2 linked regions of the Rattus norvegicus genome follow. The protein of the gene in region 1 interacts with the protein of each later gene in a pairwise test. Links are inferred from orthologs where the notes say so. Each region holds a gene or a part of one and is shown on either strand. Other genes may lie near its edges. The genes, in order: Edc3 and Anxa10.

Region 1 (12,803 bases):
CTGATGCATAAGCACATCATCTAATTCACAGTAACCAGGGCTTTACTAGCCCTTCATAGGGGAATAGGAATTCAAGAGCTGAGGATGTGGCTAGGTGGGGAGGAATACTGGAAAAAGACCCTAGGTCTTTGGGGGACATTTTAACAGAGCCTTCCTTGAAGGATGAGAATCAATCTCTCTAGCTTTCTCTTTATTTTGTATTGGTTCTTTGTGAATTTCACATCATGTCCCCCGATCTCACTCATCTCCCCATCCCTTCGTATCTGTCCTCCACCCTTCCAGTATATATATTGGAAACAAAACAAACAGAACCCCATCACAGAAGCTTCAGTGTGTCATATAGTATACCCTTTTGCCCACACTTCTTTGCTTGCAAATGTTTATTGCAATGAATCATTCATTGGTCTAGTTGGAGGCCTCTGGCTTCTGCTGCACTATCAATACTGGATGCTCTCACTAGGACTCCTTTCAGATATCCTGTTGTTGCCTCGTGTCATGGAGATCCTGCAGCTTTGGATCTGCAGGGCCAGCCCCTTCATGTGCTCCAGCAGATCATAGATGGGATAGATGTTGGGGTGGGGCAACTCAAAACCCCGGGTGATAGCTAAGCTGGTCAACCTGTCAGCTCTCCCATAACCACACCGCCAGGTTGAGCTCTCCAGCACTGCCTCTGGCTAGCTCAGCCAATGCCACAAGCAGTGAGGGACAGGGCCAGCTCTTCTGGAGAAGCATTCTCTTAAGTGGCTCACACTTTTTATGCAGAAATCCTCATCCCTTAGTAATGTCAGAATGGCAGTGTCAGGTAGTGGTGAAGGACAGACCCACAGAGCTAGAAGCTCCTCTAACATGCTAAGAGGACATGCATCTTGGGATGTGACCCTTCCTAGTATCACCCCATTCAAGCCCCTTCTTGAACAGCTGGGAGTGGACAGTAGTTACCAGACTTATGCCTTTTGAATAGAGTAAATAGACAGTAAATAGAATAAAAAACATTCACCAAGAGTTTCAGGCCACGATAAAGAGCAAACCCAAATCAGAGGGAACAAGGGTACCCAGTTGCCATTCTCATGGTTGTGTTAAAACAAAGCAGTCGCAGCTGGAAATGTTGCTCAGCTGATGGCTGTCTAGCATGCCCAAAGACTTGAGTTCTGTGGCAGAACACAGCTGTAATTCTAGCAAGCAGGAGATAAAGACAGGATGGTCAAAGGTTAAAAGTCACTCCCAGCTACAGAAAGTTTGTAGCCAGCCTGAAATATGGGAAATTCTGTCTTTGAAACAACAAACAAATTTGTATTATATGCTATAATGTAGAGGAACACATAATATATCCAGAATAGGCAAATTAAATAGAGCCAAAAATTAAGGAACACAGGGCAAAGGGAATCCGGAGGTGTGGGTTTCTTCTACACAGAGAGCACGTATTCTTAAATCAGGAGTGATGCTTGTATAACTTTATGTACACTAAAAAGCAAAACAAACAGCAGCAGACCGGGGAGACCTATGGGTTCAAGAATTCTTGCTCCTCCTCTAGAGGACCCAAGTTCCATGACCCTTGTAGAGCAGCTCACAATTGTCCATAACCCCAGTTCCAGAGGAACTGACAGCCTCTTCTGGCATCTGTGGGCACTCTCACCCATCCTGACGTATGCATATACCCCCCTCAAATACCCACATACCCACAAAAAGTAAATCTTCATTAAAAATACAACAATCAGGGGTTGGGGATTTAGCTCAGTGGTAGAGCACTTGCCTAGCAAGCACAAGGCCCTGGGTTCGGTCCCCAGCTCCAAAAAAAAAAAAAAATACAACAATCAATTGTGCAGGGTAAATGGAAGGGAAAATACCATTTTAAAAGTAAGGAATCTGGACAGCATAGGTAAAACAGTTTATAAGCAGGGCAGTGGTGGACACACCTTTAAACCCAGCCCTCAGGAGGCTGAGGCAGGCAGATCTCTAAGTTTGAGCCAGCCTGATCTACAGAGTGAGTTCCAGGTCAGTGAAAACCTGTTTCGCCATGTACTATCTTGCTCTGCTAATATCCTAAATCTTAGAGTCCATGGGCAATTGACAGAAATGAGCATTCTAACTTCCTAATGCCCAGATTGAGATCCAAGGCTTCTTATGAAAATAATTGGCCACAAATCTTGGACAGAAGTATTAATAAAAGACAAGCCTGGAACGCTTAGCCATGCCAGATGGTAAAGATACTATGAAGACTCCAGGGATAGATTAAGTCACTCGAGACACTCTTAAACAAGTTTTAACTCCTGAAGATAAGGCAGTTTGACTATTGATAATAATTTCTATTGTGTAGACACATGCTTTTAATCTCAGAATGTAGGCAGAAGGATTTCTTTGAGTTTGAGTCTAGCTAGGGTTATATAGCAACAAAGTGACTAAAAATTTGTCCCCACAAATTAAAACCCTTCATGAGCTCATAAACATTTATAAATTTGTTTTTAGATTTATTTTATGTGTATTGAATGTTTTTGCCTACACCATAAGCCTGCTGGTCCTCTCAGTGGTCAAAAGAGAGACCCTCCCTACCTGGAACAGGAGTTATGGACAGTTGTGGGAAAGCAATGCTTTTAACTTCTGAGCCTGAGCCATCTCCCCAGCTTCTCTTCTCTCTCTCTCTCTCTCTCTCTCTCTCTCTCTCTCTCTCTCTCTCTCTCTCTCTTTCCTTCTCCATCTTCTCTATCTTTTTTGCTAGCTCTCAGGAAATACTTCCCATAAGATTTAATCATGCTTAGTGGTGGCACATGCCTTTAATACCAGCATTTGAGAGAGAGAGGCCAGCTGATCTACAGAGCAAGTTCCAGAGAAGGAAAGAAAGAAAGAGGTTTCACCTCAACAATGTTTTTCTTTTCTTAAGTACCACTAATTTCTCAACTCCAGTCAAACAGTATTGAGAATCCCAGGAAAGCAAAAGTTTCACTTTTGTAGTTCTTGTTAACCACAGCCATTTCTTCAGCCCCACTTAACCAGAACCATAGAATCAAAGTAACAAATGGCCCAGATAGTCTTTAAATTTTTCCCTGAAACTTCACAAGCCAGGCAATCTGCACTGCTCTCAACATTCTTATCTTCCAATCTCCTACAGAAGAGCCCACTGAACTCTCGTGGCTTTTCCAGTTCAAAGTTCCAAAGTCCTTCTGAAACATGATCTGGCCTGTCACTATACCCTACTCCTAGTACCAATTTATCTTAGTTTGGATTTCTATTGGTGTGATGAAACACCATGACCAAATACCAATTTGGGGAGGAAAGGGTTTATTCAGCTTACACACTCATATTAGTATTCACCATGAAAGGATCTTGAAGTCAGAAGCTGGTACAGGGACCACTGAGGAGTGTTTGTTACTGGGTTGCTCTCCATGCTTGCTCAGTCTTTTTTTTCTCATTGAACCCAGGACTGCCAGCCCAGGGAGGGCCCCACCCACAATAGCCTAGGTCCTCCCTATCAGTCACAAGTTAAGAGAAATGCTTTACAGGCTTTCTTACAGCCAGATCTTACAGAGGCATTTTTCTCAATAGAGGTCCCCTCTTTTCAGATAACTCTAGCTTGTGTCAAGTTGACAAAGTAGCCAGCATATTTTCCTTTCTTTCTCTCCTCTCTCTTTCTTCTTTCTTACTTCATTCAGATTTCACACATAGAAAACATCTGGCTTAATTTAGCGGTCTTGCCCATCAACCCTTAACAATCCAACCACTCAAATTTCCCGGGAGCCCCGCCCCTTGGCTCCTCCCAGTGTCAACGGAAGTGACATCATTCGCGTTGGCCCAGACGCAGGGGCGTTTCCGGCGGAGGTGGTGGCTGCTCCTGTGTCTGTGGAGGTGGGCGTGAAGCCCCTCGGCGGTGTTTTGGTGAGTGAGGACGTCTTGGTGTGCTGTGCAGCGCAGGCGGGGGCAGGCGGCCAGACAGTGAACTTGAGGGAGGCCGCGTGTTCGTGGGTGCTCGTTGGCTGGCGCTTCCGGGTGGTCAGCTCGGTTTGCTTTTTAGGCTGCGGGCTTCCAGGCCTTGTAGATTTTTATACTGGCGGACAGAAACTGCGGTGTGTATGTGTGTGCTTTTTAGGCTGCGGGCTTCCAGGCCTTGTAGATCTTTATACTGGCGGGCAGAAACTGCGGGGTGTATGTGTGTGTGTGCGCGCGCGCGCGTGCGTGCTCATGAAGAGTGTGTGTGTGTGTGTGTGTGTGTGTGCGCGCGCGTCCCCGCAGGAACTGGTGGGGGTGGGCGCGTGGGCCCGTGGGCGCATGTGGAGTACTCACTGAGTTAGGTGTAGCCCAAGGATTCGTGTTGGAGGCGGGAGGTAGAGAGATTGGACGTGATAACGGCTTGGACTGTCTCAGGCCAGCTTTGGTTGTCACTGTGGTTCTCACAGCTCTTTGCCTTCATTTCCTTTGACTAAAAGGTTAATAGCCAGTCGTGCGAGTGCCGCATGGTGGCTAATAACTTGTCACGGGACTGGGATGTGGAAATAGAGATACTGATGCCCTGCCAGTGCACACACTTAACTTCCCTCGATGCACTGCTGTGGTTGCCCTTTCTGTGCTGTGACTGTAGTTATTAGTGATACTTGATCTGTGGTTTGAGTGTTGGGGTGTGTTGGGGTGTGTTGGAGGAATAGCCCTCATCAGCGTAAGTAATTGATTTTCAGTGTCCTGATTGCAGAGTTAAGAGGAACTTTAGTCTTTCCACAATATAAATGACTATCCTTGGAGCCCTCAGGTGGTACCCAGTTTTTTGTTTTTGTTTTTGTTTTTTTTTTCTCCGGAGCTGGGGACCGGACCCAGGGCCTTGCGCTTGCTAGGCAAACGCTCTACCACTGAGCTAAATCCCCACCCCCCCACCTTTTTTTTTTTTTTTAAAGAGTGATCTATCAGTGTTTTGGGGCACAAAATTACTAGTTGTTGGTTTCTCTGAAGTAAAAGTAGTTGCAAAGAATGACCTTTTTTTGGTGACAGGCTCTCAAGCCAGAGCTACATAGTGAAGAGCCTGTTCAATTGTCTATGTAGATCAGACTGGCCTGGAACTCACAGCTATCCTCTGTCTCTGCCACCAGAATGCTGGGATTAAAGGCTTGATTTTTGACTACGAAGGATTATTGGTTTTGATGTCATGGAGACATTCGGCCACTTGGGTCCCTGTTACTCAGTAATACTGCTGCTTTAGCCTCTGGAGTACTCAGATTATAGACATACACCAACACACCTGACTCTGCTTGTCAGTTTCTGATAAAGTCAAATGCAATTTCAACTCTGATTTTCTATGTAATATTAACCAGAGCACATGTAAAAATGTTACTTAAAATGGAACTCAGAACTTGAAATAATTCAACTGTGTATAATAGGCTGGCTAAATTCATTGATGCTTAAACAAGATGGTACAGACATGGTAATTAACTTCTCCCAAATGCTAACAGCTGAATTTCACACTTGTACTATTGATTAAAGGAAACCAGACACATGAATCTGCGTGATTCTACTTTTGTGAAGTTTGAAAACAGCATAAATTTGTCTTTCATGATGTCAGAATAGCAGAGACACAGTGAGCCCTTTGTGATGTTTAGGTCGCAGCTCCGTTGGGGATTACTGTGAACATTTTTGAGCACAAGATGTCATGGTGTGTCCCTGTAATCACAGTACTCAGGAGGCTAAGGCAGGGGGATCTTGAGTTGAGCTTGTCTGGGTTACATAGTGAGTTCATGTCTTGGGTTGTTGTTGGTTTGTTTTTTAATGTGGAGTGATATACTTTTATGTAGATTATAACTTGATGGAAAAGTACAAAATACAAAATAAAAGGCCTCAAGATTTGCCCTGTGCTAGATACGTAATTCAGTGACAGAGGTTATCTCGAAACTAGCACAAGCTCTGTATTTGATCTCCATCAAAACGCATGCATGAGCATGTACACACACACACACACAGGTCAGCCAGGCATAGTGACATTAATCCCAGTAGCCGGGAGATACAGGTAGGCAGATCTCTTGAATTTGAGGCAGACTGGTCTACATAATGAGTTCTAGGACAGCCAGAGCTAAACAGAAGACACCCCCCAAAAAAAGTTCTTTTGTAGCTCCTGTCTATCTTCCTGCTTCACAAGCCCTAGCTTTTTAAAAAAAAAAACAAAACCTTAGTAGTGTGTGGGTAAAGAAAAATGTTTTACTCTTTGTTGTTGTTGTTGTTGTTGTTTTCAGTGTTGGGGAATAGATCCAGAATTCATGCACACATTCTAGGAAAGCATTCTCCAACTGAGCTGTGTCCCCAGTCCTAGGAAATTTTGGCTTATGTTCTTTCCTCTGAGCCTGGTTTTTCTGTGTAGCTGTGAATAGCCTAGAGCTTGCTCTCTGGGACAGATTGGATTCAGACTTGCTGCAATCCTCCTGTTCCAGCCTTTCAGGTGCTGGGATTCCGGGCATGCACCACCACACCCAAGAGGTAGTTTATAGGATAACCCATTTGATTTAATTTTCAGTATTTCGTCAATGTATTTTATAGGGGAATTTCCAATGAAAATGGACAGTTGCACATCAGTATAGAAGCAAGTAAAAACTTGCATTTAACAACTAAAAGCCACATTTTCCTTTTTTCTTTTCTTTCTTTCTTTTTTTTTTAAATATGGACCAATTTACAAATTTGTGTGTCATCCTTGTGCAGGAACCTTGCTAATCTTCTCTGTATCGTTCCATTTTTAATATATGTGCTGCCAAAGCGAGCACAAAGCCACATTTTCTTAGTGCTAACATTTTGATTCAGTTAGCATGGTATAAATTTGAATGTAGAATATCAGGGCCTTAAAAATACATATTAACTGGAAAAACAAGAGCTGCTCTCCATTTTGTTAAATTTTAGTTGGTTTTTTTTGTTTGTTTGTTCTTTTTTTAGTTTTTATGACAGCTTTTTATAATGCTGTTATCTAAAGCAGGTGCCAAAATAAGATTATGGAGTATAAATGATAGAAAAGGAAATTGATGCTACCCTAACATAAAGTAGGCAAAAGCTGACAAGGAATGGAAACAAGTCTACAGTAGGTGCCTTTGTTGTTGTTTGTTTGTTTTTGAGATAGAGTTTCTTTGTGTAGACCAGGCTGGTCTCAAACTCCTGCCTCTGCTTCCTGAGTGGTGGGTGATGGTATTAAAGGTATGTGACACTACCGCCTGGCTAATAGGTGTCTTTTATAGATAGTAATTTAATTAATTAATTTATTTATTTATTTTGGAGCTGAGGACTGAACCCACTTTAATTTTATTTATAGTGACTTATTTAGTTAAAATTTTTATGTACAAAAGTTTACCCGAGTGTGTTCCTGTGCATCAGGTGTGTGCAGTGGCTGAGGAGGCCAGAAGAGGGCCTCAGATTCTCTGGAACTGGAGTCACCAGCACATGTGTGCTGGGAATGGAACCCGGATCCTCCAGAAGAGCAACCAGTGTTTAACTGCTGAGCTCTCTCTCCAGCCCCTTTTGTTCAGCCTTTTAATTTTTTTTAAAGTTTTGATGGTGCTAAAATTTAAACCTTGCTTGTGAGGTAAATAGCATTCCACTGCTTAGTCAAATACTTTGTCTCTCTTTGAAAGACGTTGCACTGTTACCTGCCCTGCCCTGGGCTCTGTAGACCAGGCTGGCCTCAAACTCACAGAGACCCACCTGCCTCTGCCTCCCGAGTGCTGGGTTTAAAGGACTGTGCCACCACCACCTGGTATCTACATGGTCTTTGCATACGTGTATCAATATTGCATATTAATATGCACATTCCTACTGATGGTTTTTGTTTTTTTAGATAGATTCGCACTGGGTAGTGTGAGCTACCTGGAACTTACTCTGTATACCAGCCTGGCCTCAACTTAGATCCACTTGCCTGTTTCCCGCCAGCCTCCCAACGTTGGGAATAAAGTTATTTTAAGCTGGGTGTGGTGGTACCTTTCACCCTAGCACTCAAGAGGCAGAGACGCATAAACCTCTGTATGGTTGAGATCTACATAGTAAGTTCTAGTTCCACCAGTTACACTGTAAGGCCTTGTCTCACAAAATAAAACAAATCCAAAACAAAGGTGTGTGCACTTACACCTCACTTCTTACCAAATGCTCGTCTTCTGTGTGTTTGTTTCCAGGCTTTATCACCTTAGTGGCAGAGTGTTATCAACAGCACTGAGCACAGAGCCTGACGTACTGGTTCTGCACGGAGCCTTCACATCCGACACGAGGCAATGGATTGGCTAGGCAGTATTGTGTCTATCAACTGTGGAGATAGCCTGGGCGTCTACCAGGGAAGAGTATCAGCAGTGGATCAGGTCAGCCAGACCATTTCTCTTACTCGGCCCTTCCATAATGGGGTGAAGTGTCTTGTACCAGAAGTCACCTTCCGGTAAGTGTCCTGACCGACGTCCTCCAAAATCCAGCCTGGTGGGTTAGGTGCTGGAGTCGAGGTGATTGACAGTATCTTCTTGCCTGGGCTGTTGGAGTTGAGTCTTGTCAGAAAGGAGAGTTCAGTCTTACAGGCCTTAGAGTTCTGTTGTTCCTCTCAGTGGAGACTGGTGTAATACAGTCATCATCCTGTACTATCTCTTGCCAGGCTTGCACAGGACTCAACTGCCAAATTCAGAAGTGCCCCTTTCTCTTTTTTTGTGGGGGGTGGGGAGTTTCAAAAATTGGGGCTTTTACGGGTTTTTTTTTTGTTTTTTTTGGTTTTTTTTTTTCTTTTCTTTTTCTTTTTTTTCGGAGCTGGGGACCGAACCCAGGGCCTTGCTCTTCCTAGGCAAGCACTCTACCACTGAGCTAAATACCCAACCCCACGTTTTTTTACTTAAACACCAAGACAAGATTGCAGTATGCAGCCCAGGCCAGCCTGGAACTCCCAGAATTCTGCTCGCCTCTGCTTCTCTAGCTATTTTAGATATGTTAAAGTAATCGTAATATATAGGCATAGAAAGTAGATATACAATAAAACATCTATTGTTATTGGACCATATAGAATCTTTTATATAATCTTTGGTATATATAGAACTTTACCACTTATAAAAGGTGGATGTGCTTACTTATTTTTACATAAAGAATGCAAGATTGAGTTGGCAGAGGTAGTGCATGCCTTTAATCCCAGTACTTGGGAGGCAGAGGCAGGCAGGTATCTATGAGTTCAAGGCTAGCTCAGTCTACAGAGAGAATTCCAGGACAGCCTGGACTAGACAGAGAAACCTATCTCAAAACAACAGCAAAAAAGAATTCAATTCTAACATGGCTGAATATTTGATACTGTAGTACACAGAGTATCCTCTTAATACTTTGATTTCATAGTTGTCAGAGGAATGTGGATTCATACATGTAGCTGAGCTCTAGATACTTTGTCTCCCGTCTGTCCCAGGTGGGTGGTCTAAAAGATACCTCAGATTGAAGACCTGCAGCTGAACACGTTTATTTACAGGTTTCTTCCTCGGGAGGCCTGGTCATATTATTGACACCTTTCACCAAAGTTAGACGTTTAAGACTTGGACTGGTGACATGGCTCAGCAAGAGAAAGTGCTTGCTCACAAGCCTAGCAGCCCGAGTGCAGTCCCCAGAACCAGCTCCAGCACATTTCCTCTGACTTCCATGTGCACACTGTGACACTCTGTCCCCTCCATCTATACCCTTCCCCCATGCAATGAATGAATGTAAAGAATCTTAAAAAATTAAAATTTCTCAATGTGAGAGACTGCATTAACTATGTAACACATGTGTGTCTGGTGCCTAGGTAGTCTAGAAGAGGGAGTGGGATTGCATGGAACAGGAATTACAGACAGCTATGTGTCCTCTAGAAGAGCAGCCAGCCTTCTTTTTTTTTTTTTTTTTTTTTGGTTCTTTTTTTTTCGGAGCTGGGGACCGAACCCAGGGCCTTGCGCTTCCTAGGTAAGCGCTCTACCACTGAGCTAAGTCCCCAGCCCCTGCAGCCAGCCTTCTTAACCTTTGAACCATCTCTTCAACCCAAGGGAAACATTTTTTTTTTCCTTTTCTTTTTTTTTTTTTTGGAGCTGGGGACCGAACCCAGGGCCTTGCGGTTGCTAGGCAAGTGCTCTACCACTGAGCTAAATCCCCAACCCAAGGGAAACATTTTTTAAAACAGGGTCTCAAAAGTATAACCTTGCCTGACCTGAAACACACTCTGTAGACCAGGCTGGCCTTGGACTCACAGAGATCCGTTAGCTTGTGCCACCATGTCCAGGGTCCAAGAAAACAAAACCTTAAAAAGGAAATTTAAGAATCATAATGAACGGGGTTGGGGATTTAGCTCAGTGGTAGAGCGCTTGCCTAGCAAGCACAAGGCCCTGGGTTCGATCCCCAGCTCCGAAAAAAAGAAAAGAAAAGAAAAAAAAAGAATCATAATAAACTTTTTCCCAAATATGATGATCTAGAGAGTACTCTTAGAGTTTCAAAGAAAATCCCCATCAGGAGCTGTCCAGCACAGAAAAGCCAAAAACAGGTGGAAGAGCGACTGTATCATCCTGGCTGCCTTGTAACTCTATGTAAACCATGCTGCCTTCAAATGGTGATGATTGGAGGTGGCGATCCTGCCTTTGTCTCCTAAATGTAGGATTCTGGGCAAGAGCTGCAATGCCCTGTTGGTTCCTTCCTCTTTCCTGTTGCCATGGAAAAGTCTATTGTGCTTATGATTATCACCTTACCTTCCCGATAGCCTTCCACAAGCATTTCTCCTTATGTACTACCGTAGAGAACATTTGCAGTTCTTCCTGTGGACAGTGCCAGATTTTCTTAGTCTCTGACTCTCTGGGTGAGATGTCTTTCACCCTAGCGTCCTCTGCATGTGTCTTTTCCAGTGCGCAGACTGAGTCCCTTAAAGGAAGTACTGTGTCTCTGTGTAGCTTGCTCATAACCAGGGCTCACCACATAGTAAGGGCATTGTATGTTGAAAAGCAAATGGGTGAAAGAATTTAAGAAAGCTACTAGCATTCTGGAAATCTAAGGAGGCTATAGAGCTGTTCTTAACAACTGGGTCTCTAAAGTAGTGTATGAGTTGCAAGTTGGTGGCTGGGCATGGTCTGTAGATGTCCTGCTACCTTTCTTAATTTCACTTCTGTTAACCCTGAGTTACTGCAGTTTTGCAGAGTGCAGTTTCTTCCTTAACCCCAGTTTCATCTCTACCACTTTCCTATTGCTACTATAATTTTGAGACTTGGACTTTTGTGTGTTTCAGGGCAGGTGATATTACAGAATTAAAAATCTTGGAGATACCAGGTCCTGGAGACAACCAGCAGTTTGGAGACCTTCATCAGACAGAATTAGGCCCTTCTGGTGTTGGGTACCAAATGAGTATCAATCAGAATGGAACAGGCAAGGTGGTCAAGAAGCCAGCCTCTTCCAGTAGTGCCCCTCAGAGCATCCCTAAGAGGACAGATATGAAGAGCCAGGACGTTGCCATTTCTCCTCAGCAGCAGCAGTGCTCAAAGAGTTATGTGGACAGGCACATGGAGTCTTTGAGTCAGTCCAAGAGCTTCCGTCGTCGGCACAACTCCTGTAAGTACAGTCAAGGTGCTGTCTTTTGTAACCTGGTGTTTCAGGCTGTAAACACTTACCTACTGTTGCTCCTTCCATGAGTCCGTGATTCCTCATACAAAGGGTTTCATGGAGATACAGTGTGTTTCTGCCATTCTAGGGCCAGTCCCTCAAGATACCAAGGAAAAGGAAATGACTTATTAGAGGTTCACCCAAGCTTCTTGCCCACTTTGTCACTTTTCTCCCTTCAGGAAAGGTCTTGGATCTGCACCATATTCATGTTTTAAATCTCATAACTGTTGGGGTTGTGATACCTGATTGACTCTACTTGGGGTATTCCAGCTAATTTCTTGAGTAGACTTTTACTTAGAGAGGAGGGGCTAGTGTAGGCATTGCTGTTACCTTTCATTTCTAACAAGCTGATTGGTTTGTTTGTTTGTTTGCTTTGTTTGTTGAGGTACTGTGGACTGAACCCAGAGCTTTGCATATCTGGCAAGCATTCGGCCACCAAACACTTAACCCTAGCCTTAATTGAGTATTTTACTTTTATTTTTTTTATGTCCCCACTAAAGGCGATTAAGGAAAGCACTTACTGGTATATATTACTCTCTGGTCTTGCTTGCTAGTAACAGATATAGAACCATAGATGGGTCACTAAAACCTGTAATGTTTTTAAACGTGTACTAGAGTAATGTAATTTTGAGATATAACAGATTTGTTCACATCTGTTATGTTCCTTAAATACATATGAATGGTCTTTTTAAAATTACTTCTAGGAAGGCTGGATAATCAGCCTGTTGGTTAAGAGCACTTGTTTTTGTAGAAGACCCCATTTTAATTCCCAGCATGCAAATGGGAAGTTTACAACTCTGTAACTCTAATCCCAGGAGAATCTGATACTGTGTCCTGATTTCCAAAGGCACTAAGCAAACATGTGCTAATATATGTATATGTAGGCAAAACATATAAAGTAATAAAATAGGACAATTTTAAAAATTACTTCTAGGACTGGAGAGAAAGCTCAGTAGTTAAGAGCAGTTTGGCTGTTTTTACAGAGGACCTAAATTCAATTCTCAGCACATAACTGCCTGTAACTCGAGCTCCGAAGGTTCTCTTCTGTCTTTTGGATACCTGTATATATTTATAGACACACAGACACATACATATAAATAAAAATAAATATTTAAAAATGGGTTTGGAGGGGTTGAGGATTTAGTTCAGTGGTAGAGTGCTTGCCTAGGAAGCGCAAGGCCCTGGGTTCGGTCCCCAGCTCCGAAAAAAAGAACCAAAAAAAAAAAAAAAAAAAAAGGGTCTGGAGA
Region 2 (12,353 bases), on another chromosome or scaffold:
TGCAGTCTCAGGATTGCCCACATGTCTGGGTGATGAGCTCTCTCTTCCACGGTTTTTGGAGAAGGGAGCTGTGGGCATGAATATTCTAAAGGGATGGATGTGTACACGGCTTTTAATGTTTAGGTGGGCAATTATGTCTTATCAATAGGATCAGAGGTTATTGTGCTGTGTGTTCTTTCTTATGGCAATTTACGTTTAAGAGAATTTGTGGTGCTAGAGACACTGGACTGCCATGGAATTGAGATGTATAATTCTGGCATGGGAACTTAGATAGGTAGAGAGATTGTTGCCAGTCTCAGAGAGAAGCCTTTGGTGATATGGGATAGAGTAGAGCAGGTGAGATGCTTTGCTGACTGAGATGAAGATATCTACTATATATCTTGGGGCACTACAGTGCCGGACCTAGTGGGGGTAAAAGACAGCATTTTTTTTTATAATTTTACAGCAACATCTCCTCATATTATTCTGTATAGTACTTGATGTTCTAGTCAGAGCAATAAGACAGCAAAATGAGATCAAGGGGACACAAATTGACAAAGAAAAAGTCAAGGTATCACTATTTGCAGATGATATGATGATATGCAAAAGCAACCCCCAAAATTCTACCAGAGAACACCTACCACTGATAAACAACTTCCACAAAGTGGCCTGATATAAAACTAACTCCAACAAATCAGTAGCCTTCCTTTATACAAATGTAACTGGGCTGAGAAAGAAATTAGGGAAACAACACCCTTCACAAGAGATGTAATAATATAAAATGTATTGGAGTAACACTAACTAAACAAGTGAAAGATCAGTGTGCCAAGAATTTTAAGTTTTTCAAGAAGGAAGCCAAAGAAGACCTCAGAAAATGGAGAGATCTCCCAAGTTCATCGATTGGTAGAATTAACATACTAAAAATGGCCATCCTACCAAAATCAATCTGCAGATTCAATGCAGTCTCCATCAATATTCCAACACAATTCTTCAAAGACATGGAAAGAGCAACTCTCAATTTACATGGAAAAACAAAAAAAAAATCAGAATAGTGAAAATAATTCTTAATAATAAAAGAATGACTGGGGGAATCACCATCCCTGACCTCAAGCTATACTACAGAGCAATAGTGATAAAAACTGTATGGTACCGGAATAGAGACAGACAGGTTGATCAATGCAATAGAATTGAAGACCCAGATATAAAACCGTACACTTATGCACACTTGATCTTTGACAAAGGAGCCAAAAATATACAATGGAAAAAAGAAATCATCTTCAATAAATGGTGCTGGTCTAACTGGCTGTCTGCATGTAGAAAAATAAAAATAGATTCGTATTTTTTACAATGCACAAAGCTTAAGTCTAAGTCGATCAAGGACATCAGCATAAACCAGATTAACTGAATCTAATAAAAGAGAAAGTGGCAAAGAACCTTGAACTCATTGTCACATTCAAAAATTTCCTAAACAGAACTCCAATGGCTCACACTCTAAGATCAAGAATTGATAAACGGGACCTCACGGAACTGGAAAGCTTTTGTAAGGCAAAGGACAAATTGGCATCCTACGGATTGGGAAAATTTTTTCACTGATCCCACATCTGATAGAGGGTTAATATCCAAAATATATAAAGAACTAAAGAAGTTTACAACCAAAAAATCAAACAACTCAATCAAAAAATTAGGTATAGAAGTAAACTGAGAATTCACAATAGAGGAATCTCAAATGGCTGAGAAGCACTAAAGAAATGTTCAAATTTCTTAGTGATCAGAGAAATGAAAATCAAAACAACCCTGAGATTCCACCTCACACCAGTCAGAATGGCTAAGATCAAAACCTCAGGTGACAGCACATGTTGGCAAGGATGTGGAGAAAGAGGAGCACTCTTCCATTGATGGTGGGATAGCCTGAGTCCAGAAAACTCCTTTGAGGATGGTCACACACTGAGAGTGGACACACTGACGGTGGACGCACACTGACGGTGGACACACATTGAGAGTTGTCACACATGGAGGGTGTTCACACTGAAAGTGGTCAGATGCTTCAATGTTATAGATTCCAAACTGATATTAAGACAGTTATGAACAGACTTTCTTATTGTAGGAATTGACAGTTCATATTTAAATAAAATCGAGTCCAATGCAATGCTTTTCTTATTCCACCATATACAGTTTAATTAGTTACTAATTGAATAAGGGCTACAAATCCAGGATTACATATTTTCAATAGTAGATTTATTTTTGTCTCAGAATAATTGTAGAGATATAAGAAGATATGATTTTATAGTTTTGTTTCAGTGTCAATGACAGCACACGTTCAGCCGTCTATATCTGGTGTCTATAAAGAGGATTCCATCATCTTCAAACCCTCCCTCTTTTTAATAGTCTTCCACATCACCGGCGCAGATGGCAAGCAATGCTTTCTTATAGTGCCCTGAAGCAAAACTCTGAAAAGAAAAAAATAAAGGCACGTAAAACTCAAATCTCTCCCTGCTTCTAAAAGTCAACTGTACATTTTATAATTGCAATATAAAAGATTCATGGACCATTAGCCTTCACTAAAACTATTTTTTGTCTAAAGATTTTCTAAGTAGTATTCGAAGTGAAACATTAAAATAGTGCTGTGCTATAGTTGAAACGATATGCTTTGTATAGAGCTGATGAAAGTTTAATGTATATTTATGAGCACAATAACATGTTTTACAGTGAATCTTTTCTTCAGCTTTAGGAATTGACACGCTAATGTCACTACTATAGTAAATCAGTGTAGATTCTGGACACTGCCAATGTGTCTCAAAAGATTTGAAAATATTTATACTGTTTAATTCAGTAAATCCTATATCAAGAAATACATTTAAAATATCATCAATTATGGATGAGTACGAGATTTATGCTAGCAACATCTGCCCTTTAATGTTACGTATAACAATGAAAGGCATTCAATCATGTGAGACAGTTTTTTCTATTTCACAACGTACTTTATAAAGAGGATGTCTTGTTTTCATAAAATCCTTTCTTTTGCTAGCAAAATGTTATTGTTTATGTTTGTGTGAAAAAAGATCCACCTTAGTCTACTGGGGCTTTCGCCATCGAGGTGTCTAAGTTAGGGCAGATGGGAAATCTAGGTGACAAAGCGTTATGTGAATACTTCTTTATTGACTCCAGCCTGACATGGCAGGAGGGTCAAAGGAGCATCCTGGAGCTTCGTCTTCCCAACAAGGAGACTAGCCCTACTTGTGGACTCTATCTTCATGACTACTCTCACATGCCCATCTCCTAGCACCTCTCAGATGCCAATCTCCTAGGGCTAGGGTTTCAGTGTAGGAATCTGGAGAAACAAGCTTTCCAGCCACAGCAGGACCTTTCTAGGTATCTCACTCCCAGGTGTCGGTAGTAGAAAACCAGGGCAACTTTGTTTCTTTTTATCTTCTTCCATCAGGTCTAAAGATTCCAGAATAGGTAGCTGAACGAATGTCATTATAGAATCCATCTTCATAAAAACCATTTATTGTATTAATGCTCCTTTACATAAGGCTGTGTAATTAAGACTCACAGATTAGCAACGCGTTATTTTAACTTGTCTTCAATATGGTTAGAAATAATTACAAAGCATAAACAAGCTAGCTTATTCACTTAGAAATTGAGTTCTGACTCAGTGGTACGAGTTGATCACCACTAACAGCTTTAGGTTTTCGAGAAAGGCGTAATAAACTATTTTATCAAAGATTTAAAAAACCATAAAGTTGATTTTAACTGATACATCAATTTCTTAGAGCCATTTTGGCTCCTACAAAGGCTACGAAAGCACTCTGGAATTTATGGCTTCAATCTCTGAGGTGCTGGGAGTTATGTCTTGAATAATACAAGGAACTGAACTGTTTTTGCTTGGACTGGGAGTTTCACTTGAAAACAATGTGAATTTACAAGGTATAAATTAAGACACAGTCTCAAGTATGGCGTCTGTTCTCCTGCTCTATTCTCTCCATCCTGAAAACCATTTTGGTTTTCTTTGCTGAAGAAACTAAACATAATGATTTTATACTGCACCCACAGATTACATGGATGGACCATATATTTCATTTTTTTGCCAAGTTATATAAGACATTTAAAATGTTTTAGGGAGACCAGAATAAGAAATTGGCTTGTTCGTTTTTGAATTATTTCCTTGCCCTCTGATTGGTGAAGTGTTTGGTCATGTAGAGTTTTATGTATTCAGTAATAAATTTCTCCAAATTGGTAGTTGATGCTATTTGACTGGCTGCCTTGTTTTCTATGAGGCTTTGAGGAGTGGTGCTGGGCAGCAGTTAATACATTCCCGTAGCAAAATACTGTTTTTTTTTTGTTTTTGTTTGTTTGTTTGCTTGTTTGTTTGCTTGTCTGCTTGCTTGTGTTTTGAGAGGGTTCAAGAAGTGGATCCTAGTCTCTAAGTTGCTTTGGAGCTGAGGGGGACCTTGAAGTGTCGATTCTCCTATTGCAACCTCAGTAGATCTAGTGTGGGGGTTGCAGGTGAAATCACAGGCAAACTGCCACACCCAGCTGGTCCTGTGCTTTTCACATCAGAAGGGAACCCTGGAACCACAGTCATAGGAAGGGAATATTTTATATAATTTTCTGTGGTGCAATGACTTTCCAGGTTGATGTTTGTTTAAAGCACTGAACGCTGTGTAAGCTCTTCGAGTCAACCGCCTTGTGAGACATGTAGCTTTTTAGATACCCACAGCAAGTTGTTTCAATTGAAACTTTTATTTATGGCTCAGAAAGAATAATATGTGAGGTAAATTCAATTATGAAGAGAAGACTTACTTTGATATCATGAAAGAGGGATTTTCCGAATCTCTCCTTGTAACGTTTCCTTATGGTCATTAGATCTATTTCACTTCTGGCGATTAGAATCCTGATGACAGTTTTGTTATGGAAGCCAAAATCCTAAAAACAGCAGAAATGTGGGTAGAGAAAACAGTACTTTAAGACCTGTTCAGCATGGAAGGGCTTCCTTCTCAGTAGCGATTTGCTTGTGGGTCCACAGGACTTAAACATTGCTGTCACTGCTATGGGATGCCTGGGGCCTCCCTTCTCGGAAGTTTCAAACGTCTTTCAAGTGGAACAATGGTGACATCTGGTGGCCACTCAACGTAATCTAATGCTTTATATCAGAATATTTTTGAGTATAAATCTACTAACATTTCATAATTTGGGGAGATTACAACAACCAAAATTCTGACCAAGTTCCCTGAATCAGGGCACAGCTGGGATCAGGGCACAGCTGGGATCAGGGCACAGCTGGAATCAGAATAACTATGATTATTTGTCCAGGTCATACACAGGGAAGGCATTAGGCTGTTGTTGCCGTCATGGTGCATTTGAATGATCAGTTTAAATAAATAAAAAATATTAAGATTCTAAACTGCACGAGGTCAATATACGCTAAGTCTCAGGTGTCTTAAGTACCCATGTTGTAGAAAGCAGAGAATATCTGCATTTAATGAATTTCACTTTTGGTGTTTAACTTGCTTCCTTTTACTTGAACACATTTTCTTTGGAATAAAAATAGTAGATATTAATTTTAAATAAGTTAAAAAAGTATGTGTTATACTTACATGGATTGCCCTGTATAATTTATAAGCAAAGTAGCTTGGTTTGTCCTGAACACAACGAACTAGAGAGGAAGAGAGCAAGGAAAAATTTGAGTGACAGGATGTAATTCTTTGGAAGTCGGGAAAGAAATTGAGCACTTACATATTGTTCCAGAATCATCATGTTGCATTATAGTTTCAATACTTAGAATAATGGTAGCACTAGCCACACTCTATCAAAAAGTATAACATATCAATATTTTATTTTGTAATGACAAATGATTGTCTCTGAGCATATGGCCATTATTATTAAATTTTTAAAAATGTGGTGCCAAATATAAAATCAAACACATACAATCCATTCACCTTCCTGATTGACAACCATTCTGATAGCCTCTAAAACTGGTCTATACCAGCAGCTCTTTGATCCCTTAAAGATTCATGAATAGAATTCAGGTCATTTAAGGAGAAACTGTAACAATGTAAACTGTTTCCTCCAGTTTTAGATATTACTTGATTACAATTGTTAGGGCTCTGAGCAGACTGACACCTGTCCAACAGTTGTCCCTGTTAAATATCAGTTGAGACTGTAGACCATCAATAAGCCCCTTATTTGAAAATTTAATAGATTAATTACATGAATGAATAATAGATGAGGAACTATAATGTCTCTTCAAAATAAATCCACATTAGTATTTCTGTGCAGTCCAAGTAATTATTTTAGATCATGAGGCCATCTCTTCATCCTTATCTCATTTTTATTACTGGGACAAGGAAACCTGAGAAGTGATTTCTAGAAGGTGGGCTCCCAGAGAACAGAGGCGAGTGTTGGTATTCCGAACTTTGTTGACTCACTGTTCCACCCACATCAACCAAGTTAGAAATGAGAAGCTGCTCATTCAGTGTTGATTGACGGAATGAGCCAGATCGCTATTTCCTGGTATTACTGATGTCTGCTGTCTGTTCTCTTATGCCCACTGTTTTCTGACAATAGTTTGGGCTGCTTTGAGATTTCAATGACATGAGTTTTAGTCTAACTCTTTGCTTATCGCTGATATGTGATATATAACTGTTATATTTATTTGGAATTTGAAGAAATCTATCTATCTCTCTATGTATCTGTCTGTCTATCTGTCTATCTATCTGTCATCTATCAATCATCTATTTGTCTGTATCATCTATCTATCTATATGTCTGTCTGTCTGTCTGTCTGTCTATCTATCTATCTATACATTCATAGACAAAAGCCATCATATCACATATCTTTAGGGGTTTCATAGGATTCACCTACTCTTTTTTATAGGATGTTTGCTTAAAAATCTCGTACTAGATCATTTGTAAAAGTGCTGTGACTGATATCTCAGCTCCATGTCAAGACATTCTTGGGAATGAAAACTCACAATTGAATATTCAGCACATATCTAAGTGTTCATTTGATGGACCTATTATAGGATACTTCACAATGACTTTTAATGTACATTTTCTGCAGTCCATGCAACCAAGTCACAGAGTATATGGTAAAGTGTGAACACTTGAATAGTTTTGATGAATAAGAGCCCTGGTCTTTTCTGTAACGGGCATAACATTTCTAACAACACTGGGAAGGCATGCCTGTAGATCTCACTTCTAATTAATAATTTAGGCTTTCTTTGATGACAAGATTTATTTCTAAAGGGAAATATATTAAAGATAGTAAAAATTTAAAGAACCATCAAACTTAAAAACTTAAAAAAAAAATCACCGTTCTTCTTGAAGACAGAAACCAGTCACACTGTTAGCATTTATCTGCTCCTGAAACAGGGGTGGAAGTCAATGACTTGAAGTTATGAGAAGTCACTTATGAGTCCAGGCATCCCAGATTTCCCTTTTCTCGTATGGAAATTGAGCTCGTTCTTGGGGGGAAATAATGCCAGTTGATTAATGTTTCCAGGTTGCCAGTTCATTGAACTGAACTACTAGCTGACTGACTGTCTTAGAGTTTAGGGATCTTTCAAATAACTGTGCTGAGAAAAATGCTTCAATTAAGCTTCCACTCATGCACAGGTAATCTAGTCAGAGCCATTCAGTGCTGTGAAAGGCAAGGTTGGCTGTTCATCATATGAAATCCAGCTTACCAATTGCAATCAGTAGCTCCTGGAAGTAACCATCGTAACAGTCACTGATAGTATCCACCAGGTCTTGGCCAGAAATAGTTTGAAATTCCTGGAAAACTTCAAGAAATTGATGTGATTTGAATGGGATTTTCATAAATCTCATAAACTTAAAACAAATACCAATGAGATTACTATACATAGCAAAGGTAAGTATGTTCTCTGAAGTATTTCTCGGTCCTAATATCCATCGTGATGATGTATCTACTCTTAGCAACTAGTATAGATCCCATGAAATGCTAAAACTTGCATGAATCTTGGACTCCAAAGAACTACTATTGCTGGGCTGGGGAATGATGGTTTTCTTGAGTTGGACTCAATGACTCAAGTGTTGATTGATAGATGGGTGGAGAGCACGGTGTGAACTATTGTCTATGAGGCATCTCCAGAAAACATAAATAATAACCAGTATAAGTTTATTTGTCCACACAAACTTTCCGTTAGGACTTAAATATAAATGTTAAATACAAAAATACTCTGAGCGATATTGATGATAGGCATTGGAAGAGCTCATTTGAGAAATAGATTACCATTAGTGACTTTATTACTAACATAAAATGATGTTGAATGAAACTTCCCTCTTTAAAGAATGTACTCAGCTGGCTTTATCCTTGGCAATGTTTTACTTCTCAGCTATTTACTTCTATATAAAGTGCTACTATCATTAGTACTAATCTTTAACTGACACAAAGTAAAAGAGGCACAGTTGAACTAGAGTAGACTGTTGCTAAAACATTGATAGGCCTTTATGTTTCATTTAATTGTACTTTGTTTTTCTAAGAAGGGAAAAGGAAAGGTTGTAGAATCTGAAGAAAGTCAAGTATAGGTTAATGTGAGCACATCTTGGAGATCAATAGGCACTACTGATATCTCATGTTGTCTGTAACACAGAAACAGTAAGCTTGCTGGAGACTGTTCAGACACAATGTAGTGTGCCTATTAGGAAAGAGATAATGCATCCAAATAAGTAGCTTTTAAATGTCAGTATTTGAAAGCTATGGAATTTAGCTAGAGGAAAGAAATTAAACGATGTCAGAACTTTATCCCATTGCAGTATCATTAAATGCAACATGCTGTACAGACATAATTCGGAGCAGTAACTGGCTTTTCTACATTTCTGGGTGACATTTCCTCTTTGATCCTAGCTACTTGTATGTCATTCAATTGGTTAAAGAGTTGGAAAGAGCCTGTTTCTAGTTACTCAGCCAAAGTTGTGGGTAGCTCTTGTTGCACAGGATCATCTGCAGCATGGTTTTATGTTCCCCAGTCTTCTGCTGGCAGGCTTCCCACAGCACCTGCAACATCACACAGCCAGGAAGGAGCATTGGACAAGCCTCACTTTACCAAGAGCTCTCTTAGTTAGTGGGGAGTGACATCCAGTTACCATTGCATCCTGAGCAGCCATTGCAGGGTCAGTGTAGCCTTCCTCCCTGTTTCCCTGTGAAATAAGCAGGGATCTTCTTTTAGATGCTTTCAATACACGATACAGGGTTCTTGGGACAAAGATCCCCCAATCATCAAACACTAGTGATTCTTTATCAATCTGTCGTATTATTTGGATATTTCAAAACCTGAGGAAATGTTATGCAGTTTTGAAAGGAGTTTAATTTTGAGCTTTTCTTCCCAACAGAGGTACATAGTGAAAAAAATGCTGAGATGTTTTCCACTTTTCACCTCTCTGTGTTCCGATCAGGGTGATGGTCCACCTCTTGTGTGATGTGGTAGTAATGGGTTTACACTTAGTGAAATGATGCATGCATAGTCATGTCTTCTTTGTAAAACATGGTTTATGCAACAACAAAATCATGATGAAATCTAGGCTTTGCAAATGGGACTTTTCTCCATTCCTTATGCTATAAACATCAGAGAGTTCATTTGACATTTGACACAGAAGAAAGGAAGACCAATCAATGTAAGACCCAACAGTCTCCATGATCCAGCAAGAGGAGAGAGATGGCAGAGTGTATTTCAGGTTTTGAGTCAAAGTATGGAGGGAGAGATTACTAATTATGATAGAACATTAAGGATCACTGTCTTTTTCCTGTCAGGGAGTTTCCATGTCAGTGGACCCAGTGACATTGGAAGGTGGACAAAGGTGTGTGTGTGTGTGTGTGTGTGTGTGTGTGTGTGTTATCTATGTATGTGCATGGTGGAGATAATATTAGATTTAGTTGTCCTGAATTTGTCTCAACTCCTACATTGCATGAATAGAACCTCAATTTTGTTACCTGATTCTTATTTGGCTCAGGAAATGGTGTTGAAGCTTGAACAATGATGTTTATGACCATCACAAGGTCATTACAACGACAAAGGTTATAGTGAAATAACATTGACTAGAACTGCATGGGAGACAAGGCTGGCTGTTGTAGGGATTCTTCAGCTTCCAAGAAAGTAAAGGTGAGGCTAATTAACTTATCCTGTCTCTGACCAGAGACAGGGAAAGCATTATTAATTAACTATCTCTACATATGCAGAGTTAGTACTACGAAGCATCCACATATATCACAGACATTACAACCTTACATCGTCTGTGCAGTGTTCCAACACCTGTAATTTCATAGTCAAGATCTACAATGATGCAGATCTTTGCTATTTTTAAGGACACCATCATGGTCCTTTGCTAAGACATCCTGTAAGTGATACACATACCACACACACACACACACACACACACACACACACACACACACACACATACACACACACACAGAGATATGTATATGTGTATATGTATAAATTTATATAAACATTTTCCACCTAGTAGCATCTTGGAGAGAAGAGATGATAGCAAGAATCATGAGATTCTCAATCAAAGTAGAAAAAAGTATAAATGTATCAAAAAGATTGAATGTGAATATGTACCCATATATTTTGACTGTTCAAGGTATTGTGTTCAAGGTTAAATTTACCATATTAAATTTAATATTAAGCAATTTCTATGTTCTTTTTGCTAATTCAAATCTAAACCCATATAGGAAAGTTGAGTTATTCATAGAGAAATAAATTCACAATTTCTTTTGACTAAATTTGTAGCCCTGAAACTTTAGGAATAGAAGACAGCATTTAAAAGAATAAAAGCGACTTCACTGCCTAGTGGGATTATGGGTATTTTATCTGTAAGTCATAAACATGTTTCAGTACATCCCTAGAGGTCTTATGTCTCTTTCTCTTATTTTGGAGATAACAATGAATGGACTTAGAGTTATTAAATCAATTGCCCTAGGTCTGAGAGAGTTAAAGAAGGACAATTACTAGATGTCAGTGGCTTTACTTGCTCTGGGATCTAGTTACCATACTAGAACTCATTCTTTACAAACAATATCCTTGGGCTTTCTTTCCAATTATCTGTAATGATTTTTAATTTACCAGAAAAATAAGTGAAAATAATAGAAGCATTATATCTTCTGGGAATGCATATTATTTATTTGATGAGCTTCTCATAGTTATTATCAGTTTTTATCTTATTTGATTTTCTGCAGGTTTTGGTGTAAGTTCATCAGTTTTTCCTCACAGCACTTCATTACTTGGCTTTATGTAGTCTTTGTTCCTTTGCTTTTGTTTCATTGAAAACTCCCCAGTCTTGGGAACTGGTTTCCCTTAATATTCATTCCCTTAAAGTGCTGAATCTTGTCTCTGTGGTGCTTCGCATTCTTGTCTGTCTTTACTCTTCCTAGCCTTCTACTCTATGCTATTGATAAGGGCTTAGATTCTGTCTGTGATGTAGTGATATTCCCATAGCTGGAATCCATCACAGAATGTTGTATTATGAATTTCTACTCCAATGGCTGACCCATCATTTCTCTGTGACCCTTTTCTATGTGTACAATTCCATACACTCAACAACCAGCTTCTGGCCTACACCTTTCAGTTTTCCACCTCTCAGTGGATGGTTATTCCATATTTATTGCTCACAGTAAAAACCTGAGTTATGTTTGGTTCTTTTTATTTTGTTTCATGTTTCATATAAAATTCCCCAGTAACTAACGCAAACACAGTCCCCCAAACTCATCCAGGAGCTCTCTTGATTCTTACTATGCTGCCATGTGGCTCATAGTTAACGTTATATCCCAGTTGGGTCTAAGCTTGTCTCTATAGTTATATTCATTATGTTTAATTATTATTATTTATAGATTTATATGTATTATCTATTATATGTAATAAATATGATATATTTATTATGTATTTATGTTACATTTTATTAAATATATAATGTGTAACTTCACAGTAGTCATCCACTCAAAAACCCACATAAAGTTTGCCTAACCCCCATGCCACTCAGAGTAAATTCCATGTTTACAGAGGCCACAGTTTGACTGATCCTTAGCACTTGCTGCTTCTTTAACCTTATCTGCCTTGGACTTTTTCTCCAGTTCTGTATACTGACAATTCAGTCGATTATATCTATCTGTGGTTTAATTCATTCTTTCCTCTCTATGTTTGTTTAAATCATATATTTTTCATGTGAGTTAATTTTCATTTTTCATGTGAGTTAATTTTCATTTATTAGAAGTAAAGTTGGATCATAGTTTAACTTTATAAATTACCATCAAATTGTTTCTTGTGAAAATATTTTTTTGGGAGAGAGGAAATGAATCAGAATACATTTCATATGTTTAATCAGATCTACTCTGACCAACCTATATCACAATGC

What was found.
Region 2: the proteins of Edc3 (region 1) and Anxa10 interact in binary tests that used the Homo sapiens proteins (3 or more experiments, as listed by UniProt). The link is inferred for Rattus norvegicus from reciprocal best matches to the Homo sapiens genes EDC3 and ANXA10.

The regions. Positions count from the first base shown.
Region 1 is NC_086026.1:66,998,248-67,011,050, forward strand, and holds the start of Edc3 (enhancer of mRNA-decapping protein 3), read left to right. Parts: upstream 1-3,784; 5' UTR 3,785-3,867; intron 3,868-6,615; exon of another isoform or gene 6,616-6,722; intron 6,723-8,111; 5' UTR 8,112-8,207; coding exon 8,208-8,365; intron 8,366-11,185; coding exon 11,186-11,505; intron 11,506-12,803. UniProt on the Homo sapiens protein: Binds single-stranded RNA. Involved in the process of mRNA degradation and in the positive regulation of mRNA decapping. May play a role in spermiogenesis and oogenesis.
Region 2 is NC_086034.1:32,561,769-32,574,121, reverse strand, and holds the end of Anxa10 (annexin A10), read right to left. Parts: intron 9,141-12,353; coding exon 9,087-9,140; intron 8,998-9,086; coding exon 8,904-8,997; intron 7,763-8,903; coding exon 7,667-7,762; intron 5,636-7,666; coding exon 5,577-5,635; intron 4,906-5,576; coding exon 4,783-4,905; intron 2,427-4,782; coding exon 2,358-2,426; 3' UTR 2,161-2,357; downstream 1-2,160.